Caenorhabditis elegans: one gene and its partner. The protein of the gene in region 1 interacts with the protein of each later gene in a pairwise test. Each region holds a gene or a part of one and is shown in the gene's direction. Other genes may lie near its edges.

Region 1 (7,337 bases):
CACGAGAAGGGCGTACTTGTATTACAATTGCTCATCGGTTGTCTTCAATTCAAAATTCTGACGTTATTGTATATATTGAAAATGGACGGGTGCAAGAAGCTGGAAATCATAAGCAACTGATGAGCAAGAAGGGAAAATACTATGAGCTGATTCAGAAGCAAGACTTGGGAATATAAAAGTCTAGTTTAAAAATAAGTCGTTTTTTTCTTTTAACAGATATGACAACTTAGATTTTATTACAACTTGCTCATTGAAGAAATAATAAAATGATTTACATATTTTTGTAACTTAACACCGAAAGAAGCAATCAGCATCAAAGATAAAATCACTCAACACAAAATTCTGTGACCTGTACTGCGACTGATCTTTATTTTTAGCGAGAGCGATGCACCCTCACAACTAGATCACTGATTCGGTGGAATTCCCAATCAACAGAGAGCAAGGTGCCAAACCGTTGTTCTTTCTTGTCTTGTAAATCAATATTAAAACACTATTTTCGCAGTTTTTGCGACTTTCAATGTTGACATTTGCACAATGGCAGAGAAAAGATGTAGTAAATGTAGTTGGCGTAGTCCGACTGTACTTGAAGAAAAAAAGCACTTGTTGATACACAAGGGAAAATCATAATCTTTGCGCGAACACTTTCGGAAGAAAAATTTCAGGGTGGTCTGGTTAAACTTGATCGTTTGGAACGGCATTTTGACGACAAAATACAAGCAAAATGATTAGAAAAATGAACGGTTAATCCCTCTTTAATTTAAAAAAAAATGCATAGGACTGAAATAAAAAATTAAATTTTGGTCGTTAATTTCTAGAATGAGATTATATGGTATTAAAAAGCTATGAAAAGCTAGTGAAAAGCTGAGAAGAATTGTATGGTTTTAATACAATTAGAAACCGCGAGCTTGCGCAAAACTGTGAAATGTTGCAAAATATTACAAACCAATTTTTTAAAATACCCGCTGAAAATAAAAATTCTACAAATTCTTAAAGTTGAAAATCACAGAACAATTAAATACCTAAAGAAAAATAGTGAAATATTTCTCCAATATTTTTATTTAGAAAGAATATGCATTTTGTTCTACTTTTTACAATTAAAAAAAAACAAATGCTTCGCTATTATTTGGAGTTAAAATGATATCAACTTTCATGGCCACAGAAAGAACTTCATACTTTTGAGAAATGAATAGAGTCCGCAATTTCCAACACTACACCTTCTGTATACAATAGTCTTAAAACTCTGAACCTACATTACTGGGAGCTGTTTTGAAACTGTGAAAAAACAACGACTCTTAGGTTTTCCGAAAGCCGACATATTCCGCAACTTGTCACCAATTATCACTTCCATAGAGATGACAATTGGTCTAAGATTCGAAACTAGTCTACCTCATTGCCCTTGTCTCTTGTCTGTTAGCCGAATCTTCCATACTCCGATTAGTTTGCGCACAAACCACACCTCACTGCGTCTCCACGTGAACTCGGTACTTCCTCGTGGCGAACAATCCTACAGTAAGCCGCAGAGAAACATGGCCATGCCGTGTGCTCATTTCACAAGTAAAATTTTGGTACATATGCTCAGCACCTTTTTGGCAAATAAACGTCTTGTGCGACTCCTCCCACTACGAATCCTCTACCATCAGAGTGGTACTTAAGGAACGGGTGCCAAATGAGAAAGTACCATTGTTTCGAATCACACAACATTTCTTTTTTCGTTTTCTTTAGTTTAGACCCCATTTTATTTGAAACCTTCTTGTTACTGATTCATGCTTGAATTATATATATTATTACGATTTAGTACTGCATCTTATTAGTAATTCAATTCCAATATTGTTTGTTTTGCTTACTGAACGTTTGAGCACACGGCATAATTTGGCACAGAACCTTAAAATCTTTTATTTAATCTATGTAGATACCCACTTTTTTGCTCATTTTTCCAATCGCTCAATTTTTCATCATCAAACTTCTTTTTCAGAATTTCGATGTACGAATAATTAAACATGGCCCCTAAAGACGACCCCGATAATCGAGGTTTCGACGATCAGCGTCGACCCTCACAGAGGAGTACGGTAAGTCTCATCAAGCCAGCTGATCTTAAAACATATCATTACACTTGTTCCAGGTGCTAGCGATACCAGCACTGGCTGTAAACGACCCAAAGTCTGATCCAAAAATTGCGAGCGACCTACCCGCAAATTACGTAGACGATGATGATGACGCCCCAAAGATGTATACCCCTTCGCTTTTGGAAAAAATATTGAACTACGCGTTGTGTAGAGGTGATATTGCTAATCAACAACTTGAAGCTCAACCAGTGTCTATTCCTGGATTGGTAAGTTGAACTTATTTTTGATATTTGCGTGCCATGCTCTATTACCTAAATTCTTGCAATATTTGTACAAGTATCAAAAAGAAACATTCTCCCCCCGTTTGCCACAAGTGCGCGAAACACAAATACTACTAGGGCACAGTAGTTTTGTGCTTCTTGGTTTGTTTAAGAAAAGGGAGCACAAATAGGTGAGCGCCGTTTGAACACATCATTGAGATCAATGTAGTTTTAGGAATTAAAACATCAAACTTGTTTATTTGCAGTTCCGATATGGAAAGAAGTTTGATTACCTACTCCTGTTCATTGGAACCATTTGTGCAATTATCTCCGGAGTTTCACAACCTATATTGGCTCTTGTCAGTGGTCGCGTCACTAATGCCCTTCTTGTCTATCCACCAACAAGTAAACAATTCCGGAACAAAGCTAACGAAAACGTCTACATCTTCCTTGGAATTGGTATTTTCATCTCGATCACTAACTTCATTCAGTACATGTGCTTCCAACATTGCTGCACAAGAGTGATGGCTCAGATGAGACATCGATTTGTGTACTCTGTACTTAGACAAAATGCAGGATGGTTTGATAAGAACCATTCTGGAACAATCACGACCAAATTGAACGAGTAAGTTGCTTATACTCATAATTGGGCAAGACTAACTTCTCTCAATTTTCAGCAGTATGGAAAGAATTCGTGAAGGTATCGGAGATAAGCTTGGAGTGCTCCTCAGAGGATTTGCTATGCTTATCGCTGCCATCGTCGTTGCTTACATCTACGAGTGGAGACTCGCTTCAATGATGCTTGGAGTTGCTCCAACTTGTTGTATTTGCATGTCACTTCTTGCCAGAGTAAGTTGTCAGAGAGAATTACGCAGTCGTTAACATAAAGTTTTCAGCAAATGACTTCAACTACAATCAAAGAACTTATTGGAGTTGGAAAAGCTGGTTCTATCGCTGAAGAGTCTCTGATGGGAGTAAGAACGGTGCAAGCTTTCAACGGACAAGAGGAAATGGTTGGAAGATACGAAGCTGAACTTGAGAAAGGAAGAAAATTCGCCGTGTGGAAGGGATTCTGGAGTGGATTCTTTGGAGGGCTCTTCTTCTTCTGGCTCTTCTCCTTCTTGGGTTGTGGTATGCTTTACGGAGCTTACCTTCTCAAAGTCGGAATCATCACAACACCTGGAGATGTATTCATTGTAGTCATGTCTATGCTTCTCGGTGCATATTTCCTTGGTCTCATCTCTCCACATATGATGGTGCTTCTAAACGCAAGAGTGTCTGCAGCTTCTATCTATCAAACTATTGATCGTGTTCCAAAGATTGATCCATACTCAAAGGCTGGAAAACGACTTCAAAACGTGGTAGGAAGAGTGAAATTCGAAAATGTTCACTTCCGTTACCCAAGTCGCAAAGACGCAAAGATTCTTAATGGCCTCAATTTAGTTGTTGAACCAGGAACGTCTGTTGCTTTGGTAGGACACTCCGGATGTGGTAAATCTACATCCGTTGGCCTTCTCACTCGTCTCTATGAGCCAGAAGCTGGAAATGTGACCATTGATGGAACTGATGTCCGAGAGCTGAATATTGAGTGGCTCAGAAATACAGTAGGAATAGTTCAACAAGAGCCAATTCTTTTCAACGACACTATTCACAACAATTTGTTGATTGGAAACCCTGGATCTACTCGTGAAACTATGATTGAAGTCTGCAAGATGGCTAATGCTCATGATTTCATTGAGAAAATGCCAAAGGGATACGACACCTTAATTGGAGACGGTGGTGTTCAACTATCAGGAGGACAAAAGCAACGTGTTGCTATTGCTAGAACTCTTATTCGTGATCCAAAGGTCTTACTTCTCGATGAAGCCACATCTGCTCTCGATGCTCAGAGTGAAAGTATTGTACAATCAGCTTTGAATAACGCATCGAAAGGTAGAACAACCATCATGATTGCTCACAGACTATCAACAATTCGTGAAGCTGATAAGATTGTCTTCTTCGAAAAAGGTGTTATTGTTGAAGCTGGAAATCATGAAGAACTTGTGCGCCTCGGAGGAAGATACTTTGATTTAGTGAAGGCCCAACAATTCAAGGCTGATCCAGAAGCTACTGAAGAGTTTGAAGAGGAAGAAATTGATTTAGAGTAAGTTGATTCTAACAAAACTTGCAATTTGCCTATTAATAAATTTCAGTGACACTAGTAGGAGTTCACGCCGTTCTTCGATGACAAGTGCACGATCTGGCTCAGAAGCATTCAGAAGAGGAAACTCTCTCAATGACTCTTTCTCGGGATCAAAAAGATCTGCCCAAGCAGATGCTGAAAATAGCGCGTTTGCCGCTAACGAAGCTGCTATCATGGCTGAAGATGGACAGATCACAGCCGGATATCTGGACATTTTCAAGAACGCAAAAGGAAACTATTTATACATGTTCCTTGGAACTGTTTTTGCTCTAATCAGAGGTCTTGAATTGCCTGCTTTAGCACTGATTTTCGGATGGGTTTTCGAAGGTTTCACATTTGTACCTTATGGAGGAAGAATGATGCACAGAATGGCTATGGCTGTTATTGCATTTGCTTCCGTCGGTGTCGGAGTTTGGTTTTCTCAACTTGCTAGTGTAAGTTATTTCAAAAGAATATTATGCATCTCAAATTTTCAATACTTTTAGTCAGTCTTGTTTGCTGTTGTTTCGGAAAACTTATCAATGAGATTCCGCGTCCAATCATTCCGAAATCTTCTCTACCAAGATGCTTCATACTTCGATAATCCAGCTCATGCCCCAGGAAAGCTGATCACTCGGCTTGCATCTGACGCACCAAATATCAAAGCTGTCGTGGATGCTCGTATGCTTCAAGTCATTTATGCACTTGCTGCTATTATTGCAAACATTGCGATTGCGTTTATCTACTGCTGGCAAATAGGAATACTCGGAACATCTCTCATCCTCCTTCTTGCGTTTGTCATGATCGGGCTTGCTTACAAGATTTCTCTCATGAACGTCGAACAAATCCAAAATGATGATGCAGGAAGAATTGCGATTGAAATCATTGAAAATGTGAAAACTATTCAACTGCTCACAAGGTGTGAGCTTTTCTTTGATCACTACCAAACATCATCCAAGCAACAAAAGAGATCTGAACTGAAGAAGGGAATGATTGAAGCCATCAATTACAGTCTAACTCAATCTTTCATGTACTTCATGATGTGTTTTACATATGCTGTTGGTATCAGAATTATTTATCAAGGAGACAAATCTTCCGATGACACTTTCAAGGGAATCATTGCAATGATGTTGGGTGCCGTTGCAGTCATGAATTCGGCACAATACTTCCCAGAATTTGTAAAGGCTAAAACTGCAGCTGGAATGTTGTTCAACATTATCTACAGAAAACCTAGAACAGGAGACTTAATGGAAGGAGATCGCCCTGAAATTAGAGGAAACATTCTCTTTGAAAATGTCAAATTCTCGTATCCACAACGACCATTGCAACCAATTATGAAAGGACTTCAATGGACAGCACTTCGCGGACAAACTGTTGCTCTTGTCGGGCCATCCGGATCCGGTAAAAGTACGAACATTGGTATGCTCGAACGATTCTACGATGTTACTGGCGGAGCACTTCGAATTGATGGACAAGACATTCGAAAATTGTCACTGTTCCATCTCAGAACACAAATGGCGCTGGTCGGCCAAGAGCCTCGTCTTTTCGCAGGAACCATCCGCGAGAACGTGTGCCTTGGGTTGAAGGATGTGCCACTTGAAAAGATCAATCAAGCCTTAGAACTTGCCAATGCTAACAGATTCCTTGCCAACTTGCCAGCCGGAATTGACACAGATGTAGGAGAAAAAGGAGGACAATTGTCGGGAGGTCAGAAACAGAGAATTGCAATTGCCAGAGCTTTGGTCCGAGACCCCAAAATTCTGCTTCTGGATGAAGCCACGTCAGCTTTGGATTCGGAATCCGAAAGGGTATGTTGAAAATGAAACGCTATCTCTTAATAATTATGATCGTTTTCTTTCAGGCTGTACAAGAGGCATTAGATCGTGCCCGAGAAGGTCGTACGTGTATCACAATTGCCCATCGTTTGTCGTCCATTCAGAACTCTGACCTTATTGTGTACATCGATAAGGGCAAGGTGCAGGAAGCTGGCAACCACACGCAGTTGATGCATCAAAAGGGCAGATACTACAAGCTCATCAAGAAACAAGATCTTGCTGTTTAACTCTGCAAATTGCCTTTCAATTCCGAATTATCCTGTAAATTTTGATCACTTCCACACTCTTACCAGTAATTACTTGTTCCCTTTGAAACTGTTTTTATTGTGACTTTTCATTGCTTTGTTTTCACATTTCTCAAAAAATTTTTCCGTCATTTAGAAAACTGTTCCCACGTTGTTTTGAAGCAGTTTTTCTATTAACCGGGTCTGTTCACATTGCTACTTTTATTTTCAGTAGGTACTCATTAGCTAGTCGCTTTTTCAATTTTCGAATAAAAAAATGTAAGAATTGAAAGTGCACTGTGTTATTTACAACAGAAGAAAATTACAGTTGGCGCAATTAGCTCCCACACACACACACTTATGGGGTTGTTTATTACGGGACCATGAGATCATGAGAATGCCTACTTTTCATGGTCCCGTAATATGTGATGTTGAAATTTACAAAAATGTATTTTAATACATTTTCCCCTAGTCATGTCTGTAGAAAAATGTAAAAAATACATCGATTTTTCTATTTTTCTACATTTTTCGACACATTTTCTGTATTTTTCGACATCGGCTGCCAAGTTGGCAGTGTCAACCCACTTCTCATGCTGAAAGGCGCAAAGAGAAGTGTCCTCGCAGGGTGGTACAAAAAAGTCAACAAATGCGATCTAGAAAATTAGGCAAAATTCGAGATTTCAGCTAAAATCGGTATAATTTTTTCAAAATTTTGACCCGTCATGAAAAATTTTTGAGAAGCTTCATTACGAAAAAAAAAACGCTCATTTGAGCTCATTTTGGGTCTATGTGTT
Region 2 (7,845 bases), on another chromosome or scaffold:
TTCCCAATCTGAACCGTTTTCGCAATAGGCGACCCATTATTTTTTCTATCAACTCGTTTTTATTTTTGTTAGCTTCATCATCGTTTTTATCCACTATCTCCCATGCCTCCTCTCCCCACAACAAACACAGATCGTCTAGTAGCCTTTCTTCTCTCATTTAGGTAATTTCTTTTTATTCTTTTTTGGTTTTGAGCCCCATTTCCCTTTGAGCCCCGTCAGACCATTTTACCAGGTTCTTCTACCTTTCATATCCCCTCATCTCCACCTATCACCCCCATCTCTATCCCATTTTTTATTTCTTTTTTTCTGTAATTCCCCCTTCACTCGTTGTTGTTTTTAAGAAAACACACCCACGCCCTCTCATTCAATTATTTTATTCTTGTAATTCTTAAAATTACTTTACATTATGCGGAAAATCAATAAAAAGTAGAAATTCTTATTTCATATTTGCGTATTCTTTTCTCAATATATTATTCAGTTGGTTTTAACCATTTTCTCATGTACTGGTGATCAATCGTGTTGACGTCCACAATCGGGGACGTGGATCTGGTGACCATTTTTGGAGCCATCGGAGGCGGTGGTGGTGGTGGTGGAGCAGAAGCTGAGACTGTTGACGAGGCTGAAGGCTGTGCGATCTTTGATAGGAAGGACGGGTTGGATGCGGCCGCGTTCTGAAATTAACATGATATAAATTATAGAAAAATCTGAATAATTGTGCATTTTCTACTAAGGAATTCAATTTTTCTAGACTGAATCTGAAGATGGATCTCCAAAATTTCCGAACTAAATCAGATTGATCTGAGTATAGTTTTGTGAATTTTCAAGAAACATGATTTTTTAGTATTTCTGAAAACTTCAAAAGCCTATTTACCTGAAAATGATTCATGGCTGGAAAGATGCAAGTGGCTGTTGTCGAGTGTACAATCGGATCGCATTTCTCATAACCAAGAGATTCATAAAATCGACATTGATCATCAGTTGAGAGATATGCTTCATTGAAACCTTTTTCCGTCATCCATTTTTCTGTGGATTTCATTAAGAATTTCCCGAGTCCAAGGCCACGTTGATCCTTCTTGATCATCACTGACTCAATCCATAAGGCATGGTCACTGAAAATTAACAAATTTTGGGAGAATGGTTTGAGAATTATGATAGCTTCCTTTATTTTCAGGCTAAAATTTTTTAACTTTTTAAATATTTTTTCCTGAAATTTTAGTGAGTTATCAAATTTTCTAATTGTTGAAATATAATCCGAAAGTTTCAAATTTTTATTGTTTTATTCCAATTACTCACCGATTTGGAAGATGTGTGATTCTTGAGTGGCCTAGTATCTCGTCATTCTCCTTATTGAGCAACAAAAACGACATTGGAGGGGACTGACGGCATGATTTTTTCTGTGAATGCTCACGAGATCCATCGCTTCTGGGCCATTCCTGGAATTAGAAAAGTTCAAAATTATGAATATAGCTATTTATTTTACCAAAGAAAAAATACATTTAGAAAACCACTCTAGAATACAACTCACCGAATTCAAAAATGTCATACTCTCCTTCAAAAGATCCTGCCTATCATAAAGCGTAACAAAAAATAAGTCCGGCATCCTAATACCCGATAATTGGTTATGTTTCTGAGCTCAGATGCCCTCATCACACTCGATGGCCTAGAAATCTCAACTCTAGATTTCCCGTCCACGCGTTCTCACTCTTGTTTGCCTCGGCTGGCAAAGTGCCAACTCGCTTTAAAAAGTTTAATTTTTGAAATCTCATATTTCCTTTTAATGTTCTTTTTTTAGTTTCTGATTGAATTATTATAATTACAGAGAAATGAACGATTTCGAAACATTAACCCAGTTATGTCTCGATATTGTTCACATGAAAATCACACCGATGAAGGCTTATGAAAGGATACTCACAGAGAAGGTTTCGTTCATTTAAAATCTTGAACAAATTAGAAATCATTAATTTCAGAAAGATCGAGATGCCATCAGTTCGGAGCTGATCGACGTGTTAGTGCTCACCGAGCCGGAGAGCGAGTTCGCTGACAACGCGAGCACTTCCAAAGAGAATTTTGAATCCTTTGTGAATCTACTCACTAACACGGTAATAAAACTTTCAACTTTTAAAGCTCAAGGTTCAAAAAAGGCTTATTTATATGGAAGATAGTATTATTGGCGGAAAATAAAATTAACCTGTAGTTTCAGGATTGAAAAAAACTAATATTCTAACTTAATCCAAAATTGTTTAACAAAGAAATGAGATTTTAACTGGAAATTTCCTGTAAAAATACCAAATTTTTTTCAGATAATCCCCGAAGAAATCCTCCGCCTCGAGCTGGATTGTTTCAAAAAAGATGATCACAGCAAGGCACTAATTAGGTTGAAAACAAAAGTCTAGTAAGTTAAATTCATTCAATTTCTGCAAAAACTCATTTTTCTTCAGTTTCAAACAGGCCAAATTCAACTTATTTCGAGAAGAGTCTGAAGGTTACTCAAAACTTGTCACAGAGCTTATGGAAGCAGCCGAGAGCTCAGCGAATGAGAATGAACATGCGAAGATTCTGAAGCATCGAGTACTTTCATTAATTGGACAGTTCAATTTGGATCCAAATCGTGTCACTGACGTTATATTGGAAGTTTTCGAGAATTTCCCGAGGCAGAAGGTAAAATAAAGAATCTGCATAAATTCATGATGTTTTGGTGGTCAACCATGATGTGGGCGGAGCTTATTTGAAAGTTCAACAATAGAGAAAAATTGGAATTTATAACTTTTCCGTTTATCCTTTACAAATAAAACAATTGGAAATTCAAATGATGAGATTAAGAAATCTTGAAACGAATCCAGCTCATTTGTATTTTAAAAATATTTATTTTTAATTTCAGCTCCTTTTCATTGCACTTCTCAAAGAAATTGACGTGGTCCGTGACTATCTGTGTGCACTTCTGGGCTTCAAATTCACATTCTATCAATCGGATAAAAAGAAGAAAACGCCATATTCGTTGTACGTTCTGACAGCTTCGCTCATTCAACATGAAATGATCGATATGATGAAGATTTTAGGATATGTGAGGAGTCCCGTTTTAAATTATTCGAAATTATTAATTAATATTTATAGATGATTCCAAAAGCCGAAGCAATTAAAGAAGGGCACCGTTCAAGAATGCAGAATGCACAAGAAAGAGCATCAAAAGCAGAAACAATTTCTACAGCTTCAATGCCAATTATGGATTCAAGAGGTTTCGATGAAAATGGAATAGGTGGAAATGCGGTTAGGTCGGAAAATTGAATATTTATCTAATTTTTAAAAACATTTCAGACAACGCAAACGATTTCCTTCACTACAGTAATCCAACTTCAAGAAGACGAGGATATAAAATTATCTGAAGGGTTTAATGAGGAATATGTTCTCTCATCAAATCAGAAGCTTGGTTTAACGTGTGCATTATTAGAAAGTGGAAACTGGAAACAAGCTCAAATGCTCATTGATCGTCTCCCAGAATACTATGCAGTTCAAGCTAGTCCACGACTCTGTAGAGCTCTTTGCAAAATAATTGAGAAATCAATTAACGATTTTTACAAGAAAAATTGTTCGCTGAACTTGTTTGGAGATTTGATAAAATCGACGAAACCAGTGTTAGATGATATGGGAAATGGATTAAGACCAATCGAAAGTTGGGAAGATCTTGGAAAATTGTCAAGTGTACTTGCCTATTTGGGACCTAGAATAGCCTTTCGTGCTTCAACAAATATCAAAATTGTTCGACTTTTGACTGCCTACTACCGAAAAGTTGACAAGGATCTGCTACCGAAGGATGATAAACGTAGGTTTTTTTCAAATGTGAAATTTTGCGATTTTCGCCCCGATATTAAGGTTAACAAAACATTTTGAAAAAACGATAAAAACTAGGAAAAATTAGTTCGTATCTACAGAACTCCTTGTACTTTTGTACTTTTTTAAAATTTATGTAAATCTGTCACTTCGAGATCGAGCACCGTATTTTTGAAGAAAAAAAAACAACCATTTTCAAAATTAAATATCATTATTTCAGTAAATCAAAATTTCGTGGAAGTCGTCTCCGAATGTCTTCTACCATCTCTCACACTGTCCGAAACAAATGTTGCACTTAGTGAAGAGATTTGGCAGCTCCTTGAGCTTTTCCCGTATTCTTGGAGATATTGGATGTATTCAAAATGGAATCTTGAAACTTCAAGACATCCAGAAATGCATATAATGAAGGGGAAAATTCATGGACGAACAAAATATGTTCTGAAGCGTCTTTCGAAGGAAACTGTAAAGATGATGGGCAGACAATTGGGAAAATTGTGTCATATACATCCATCTACAGTACTCTCATATCTCCTCAGTCAAGTGCAAACTTTTGATAATTTCATTGGACCTGTTGTGGATAGTTTGAGATATTTGACAAGTCTTGAATTTGATGTTCTCACTTGTAAGTTTTCAAACAAAATTTAAAACAATTTTTTTTAGAAAACGAGAAAAAACGTCCAAAAAATTATTTTGTTAAAACCACGAAAACTGAAAGGTTTTGTAAATTTCGAACGTTTTTTTTTGAGAAATTTTAAGATTTTAACATATAAATTCATAAAAAAATTTTATGGAAAAATTGATACATTTTAAATTTTTGAGTCTTTCAGTTAGCTATGTGAAAAAATTCTCGTTTTTTTCATTCACTTGTAAACAAGTCAAACTTTTTCAAATCTATTTTAAATATTTCTCATTTGAAGGTTTTCCATTTATTCCAGATTGCATCATCTCCCAATTGGCTGATCCATCGAAACAAGCTCTCAAATCCACTGATGCTACCATCTCTCCTTGGCTGCAAGCTCTTGGAACACTGGTTGGATCTCTCTATCGAAGATATCCACTCGAACTGAACGGAATGCTAGACTATGTGCTAAATCAATTGAAACTTTGCAAAAGTTACGATATGCTTCTTCTTCGAGAAATTATCCAGAATATGTCATGGATCGAGAGTATCAGTGGAGCAACGAAAGAACAAATTGAAGCACTTGGAGGTGGAGACTTGTTGAAACAGGAAGCTGGTGGATATTCAACGGCAACAAAGAATAGAAAAGCTGCTCAACGTCTACGTGATGCACTTCTGAAAGGAGATTTGGCTGTTGGATTGGCAATTTCAGTTGCTCAACAAAAAGAGCATATTGTCTACAATGAAAGCTCTACTCTTCCATTGAAACTTGTTGGAAAAATGGTTGATCAGTGTAGTGACACATTTCAACAACTCGTTTCATTTTTGAGTGTTTATCTGAAAAATGATGATTTTTCGAAACGAGTTCCAACTGTTCGTGAATTGTTATCTGATTATTCACTTGGAATGGAAGCCACAATGTGTCTGGCGAGACCTATTTTCTTCTCAAGAATATCAGATCACTATGATGCGGCTAAAAAAATCTCGAAAGCTGCTGTTGAAGATGGACAAAAGACTCGTTTGGATACACAGCAAAAGACTGAAATGTTTACAAGTGCGTTGGAATCACAAGTGGAAATGTTAATGGATGAGCTGAAAGCATCTGAACCTGGCATGGAGGAGAATATACCTGTGAAGTGAGTTTTTATCAAATTTTCGCCCAGTTTGCTAAATTTTTCTTTCAGATTCTTCGCTGTTTTCTGGATGCTGACAATGTATGATATCGAAGTTCCGACAGCTGCATATGAACGGACACTTGATGCTTTAAAGAAACAGTCAAGAGAAGACAGTCATGTTAGTTTTCATCTATAAATAATCTACTATTTTTTATTTCAGGGAAAAGCTAAGAAAACTGATAAACAGTTGGAGAGTAAGCTTCGAGAAGAGCAGAAGAGGCAAATTGAGCACGTGGAACGTTGTAAAGTATGGCTTCTGAACAAGAAAGACTCGTTGATTGATGAGCAATTCCATAATTGTAAGTTTATGCATGAAATCCGCTTTAATACTTTTCCAATATTTCCAGCTGTATTGGAAGCTCTCATTCAACAATGCCTCCTGCCACGTGCCATATTCTCCGAACTTGATGCAGTGTTCTGTGGTCAATTCTTCATGATGCTTCACGAAATGCGGACTCCATTCTTCCCATCGGTTCTGATCATTGACAGACTCTTCGAGAACATAATTCCTCTGATCGCGGGGCTCACCGAGAACGAAGCCAACTCGCTGGCATGCTTCTTTGAAATTCTGCTCTGCACTGTTCAAAGATGGCACTCGGAGAAAGAAGTTTTCGAGAAGGAATGTGCAGGATTTCCAGGAATGATCACAAAACAAGCAATTGAATATCAAACTTTCCGAAAGTTATGCTATAGATGGCAAATTCGATTTACTGCCATGTTTAAGACAGTCTTCACAAAAGATGATGCTGACTATGTACTTATCAGAAATTCATTGATTATGATGACAAAGTTGACATCTGGATTTCCAGTCATATCACATGCAGTCGCCACAATGGAAACAGCTGTAACCAAGTTGAAGGATCGAGAGAAGGGAAAACGTGACGATCTATCATTAAAAGCAGCCTCGTATGTTGGAAAGCTCAAGATGAGAACTGTGAAGATTTATGCTCAAAATTCGGATTACGCCCCAGTTCCCAACAAGAAGGTGTCGGTCGGTGCTGAAAAACCAAAGAAAAAAGAAAAAGTGGTAGATGAGAAAGATAAAGCTGATGGGGAACCAGTTGATAAGAAGATTAAAGTAGATTCGAAGAAAAATGGGACGACGAGTTCGGAGAAAGTGGTGAAAGATGATGAAGTACATCAGAATGGAAGTGAAACAGAGAAGAAAGCTACAGTAGATAACAAAGAGAGAAAGAAGCGACCTGGAGTGAGTACATAAATTATTAAAATTCACAGAACTGAACTAACTATTATAATTTTAGAAATCATCCCACGGATCAAAAGAATCAAAGAAAGAGCCAACAACTGAAGATGGTGAAGTGAAGACTCCAAGTCCCCCTCCTGCAAAGAAGACTCGAATTGTTGATCGCTTAAAACGGTCTGATGAACCTTCAAAGAAAGATGAGAAAGAATCTCCGAAGGACACAGAATCTGAAAAAGGAGAAGGTAAGAAAAGAAGAGAACGATCGAAAGACAAAGAAACAGGAAAAGAGAAACGGTTGGAGAAGGATAATAAGGAACGAGAAAAGGATAAGGAAAGGAAGCGAGAAAATGGAGAAAACCAGAAAGAACAAAAGATTCTCAAAGATCAGAAGCAAAAAAGCAAGCCGTCCGATGAGAAGCTTGAAGTGGCAGGACCCGCGGTAAGATATTAACGTTTTCTCAAGCTATTTTCAAAATTTTCCTTTCGAAAATGTGATTTATTTCAGCTTCCCGACCCAGTTCCCAAGAAAGATGACAAGAAAGGCTCTCGAAAAGCGATTGAGTTTGATCTAGAGGAGCCTTCAAAATCAACATCGTCCTCTCGAAAAGATCGCAAAGATGATCGAAAAGAAAAAAAAGAAGAACTTCCAAAGGCATCAAGAATAGCAGAGCCTGCACGTGATGCTGGAAAGAGTGGAAGAGATCGTGGGCATCGAACATTTAGATGAGCTCTCACCACATATCCCCAGATTTTCATTATTGTATCTCAGTTTATGTTGTCTACGAGGTTTTCTATTGTATCCTGATGGATTATTAAATATTCGTTTTATTTTTTGTTAGCATTAAATCTAAAGACATTGGATCGTTGAACTTCTTGGAATGTGAAAGCAATGGAAGTATTTCGAATATAGAATGCTTGCTCGAAGAGTCAATCCAAAAGTCGAAGATCAAGTGCTAAATGTGAGCAAAAGACAACGTCAAATTTCCGAACGACTTCCAATCTATGGGAACAGCCCTTTACTT

The links. The genes of interacting proteins can lie anywhere in the genome.
Region 2: the proteins of pgp-14 (region 1) and thoc-2 interact in a two-hybrid assay, tested with the Caenorhabditis elegans proteins (one large-scale study listed by BioGRID).

Annotation. Positions count from the first base shown.
Region 1 is NC_003284.9:12,744,216-12,751,552, reverse strand, and holds pgp-14 (P-glycoprotein 14), read left to right. Parts: upstream 1-1,972; 5' UTR 1,973-1,997; coding exon 1,998-2,066; intron 2,067-2,119; coding exon 2,120-2,329; intron 2,330-2,589; coding exon 2,590-2,948; intron 2,949-3,000; coding exon 3,001-3,172; intron 3,173-3,219; coding exon 3,220-4,466; intron 4,467-4,515; coding exon 4,516-4,939; intron 4,940-4,990; coding exon 4,991-6,292; intron 6,293-6,345; coding exon 6,346-6,546; 3' UTR 6,547-6,830; downstream 6,831-7,337. UniProt on the Caenorhabditis elegans protein: Contributes to the establishment of a polar lipid barrier to block small molecule passage into the pharyngeal cuticle. Probably exports polar lipids into the developing pharyngeal cuticle to protect against xenobiotic insult.
Region 2 is NC_003281.10:6,366,223-6,374,067, forward strand, and holds thoc-2 (THO complex subunit 2), read left to right. Parts: upstream 1-1,819; 5' UTR 1,820-1,823; coding exon 1,824-1,919; intron 1,920-1,967; coding exon 1,968-2,099; intron 2,100-2,300; coding exon 2,301-2,392; intron 2,393-2,438; coding exon 2,439-2,658; intron 2,659-2,878; coding exon 2,879-3,061; intron 3,062-3,111; coding exon 3,112-3,264; intron 3,265-3,312; coding exon 3,313-3,817; intron 3,818-4,045; coding exon 4,046-4,447; intron 4,448-4,760; coding exon 4,761-5,580; intron 5,581-5,628; coding exon 5,629-5,737; intron 5,738-5,779; coding exon 5,780-5,918; intron 5,919-5,966; coding exon 5,967-6,826; intron 6,827-6,881; coding exon 6,882-7,262; intron 7,263-7,328; coding exon 7,329-7,550; 3' UTR 7,551-7,682; downstream 7,683-7,845. Other genes in the region: C56G2.15 (N-acetyltransferase domain-containing protein), read right to left, coding at 471-671, 872-1,109, 1,294-1,433, 1,526-1,600.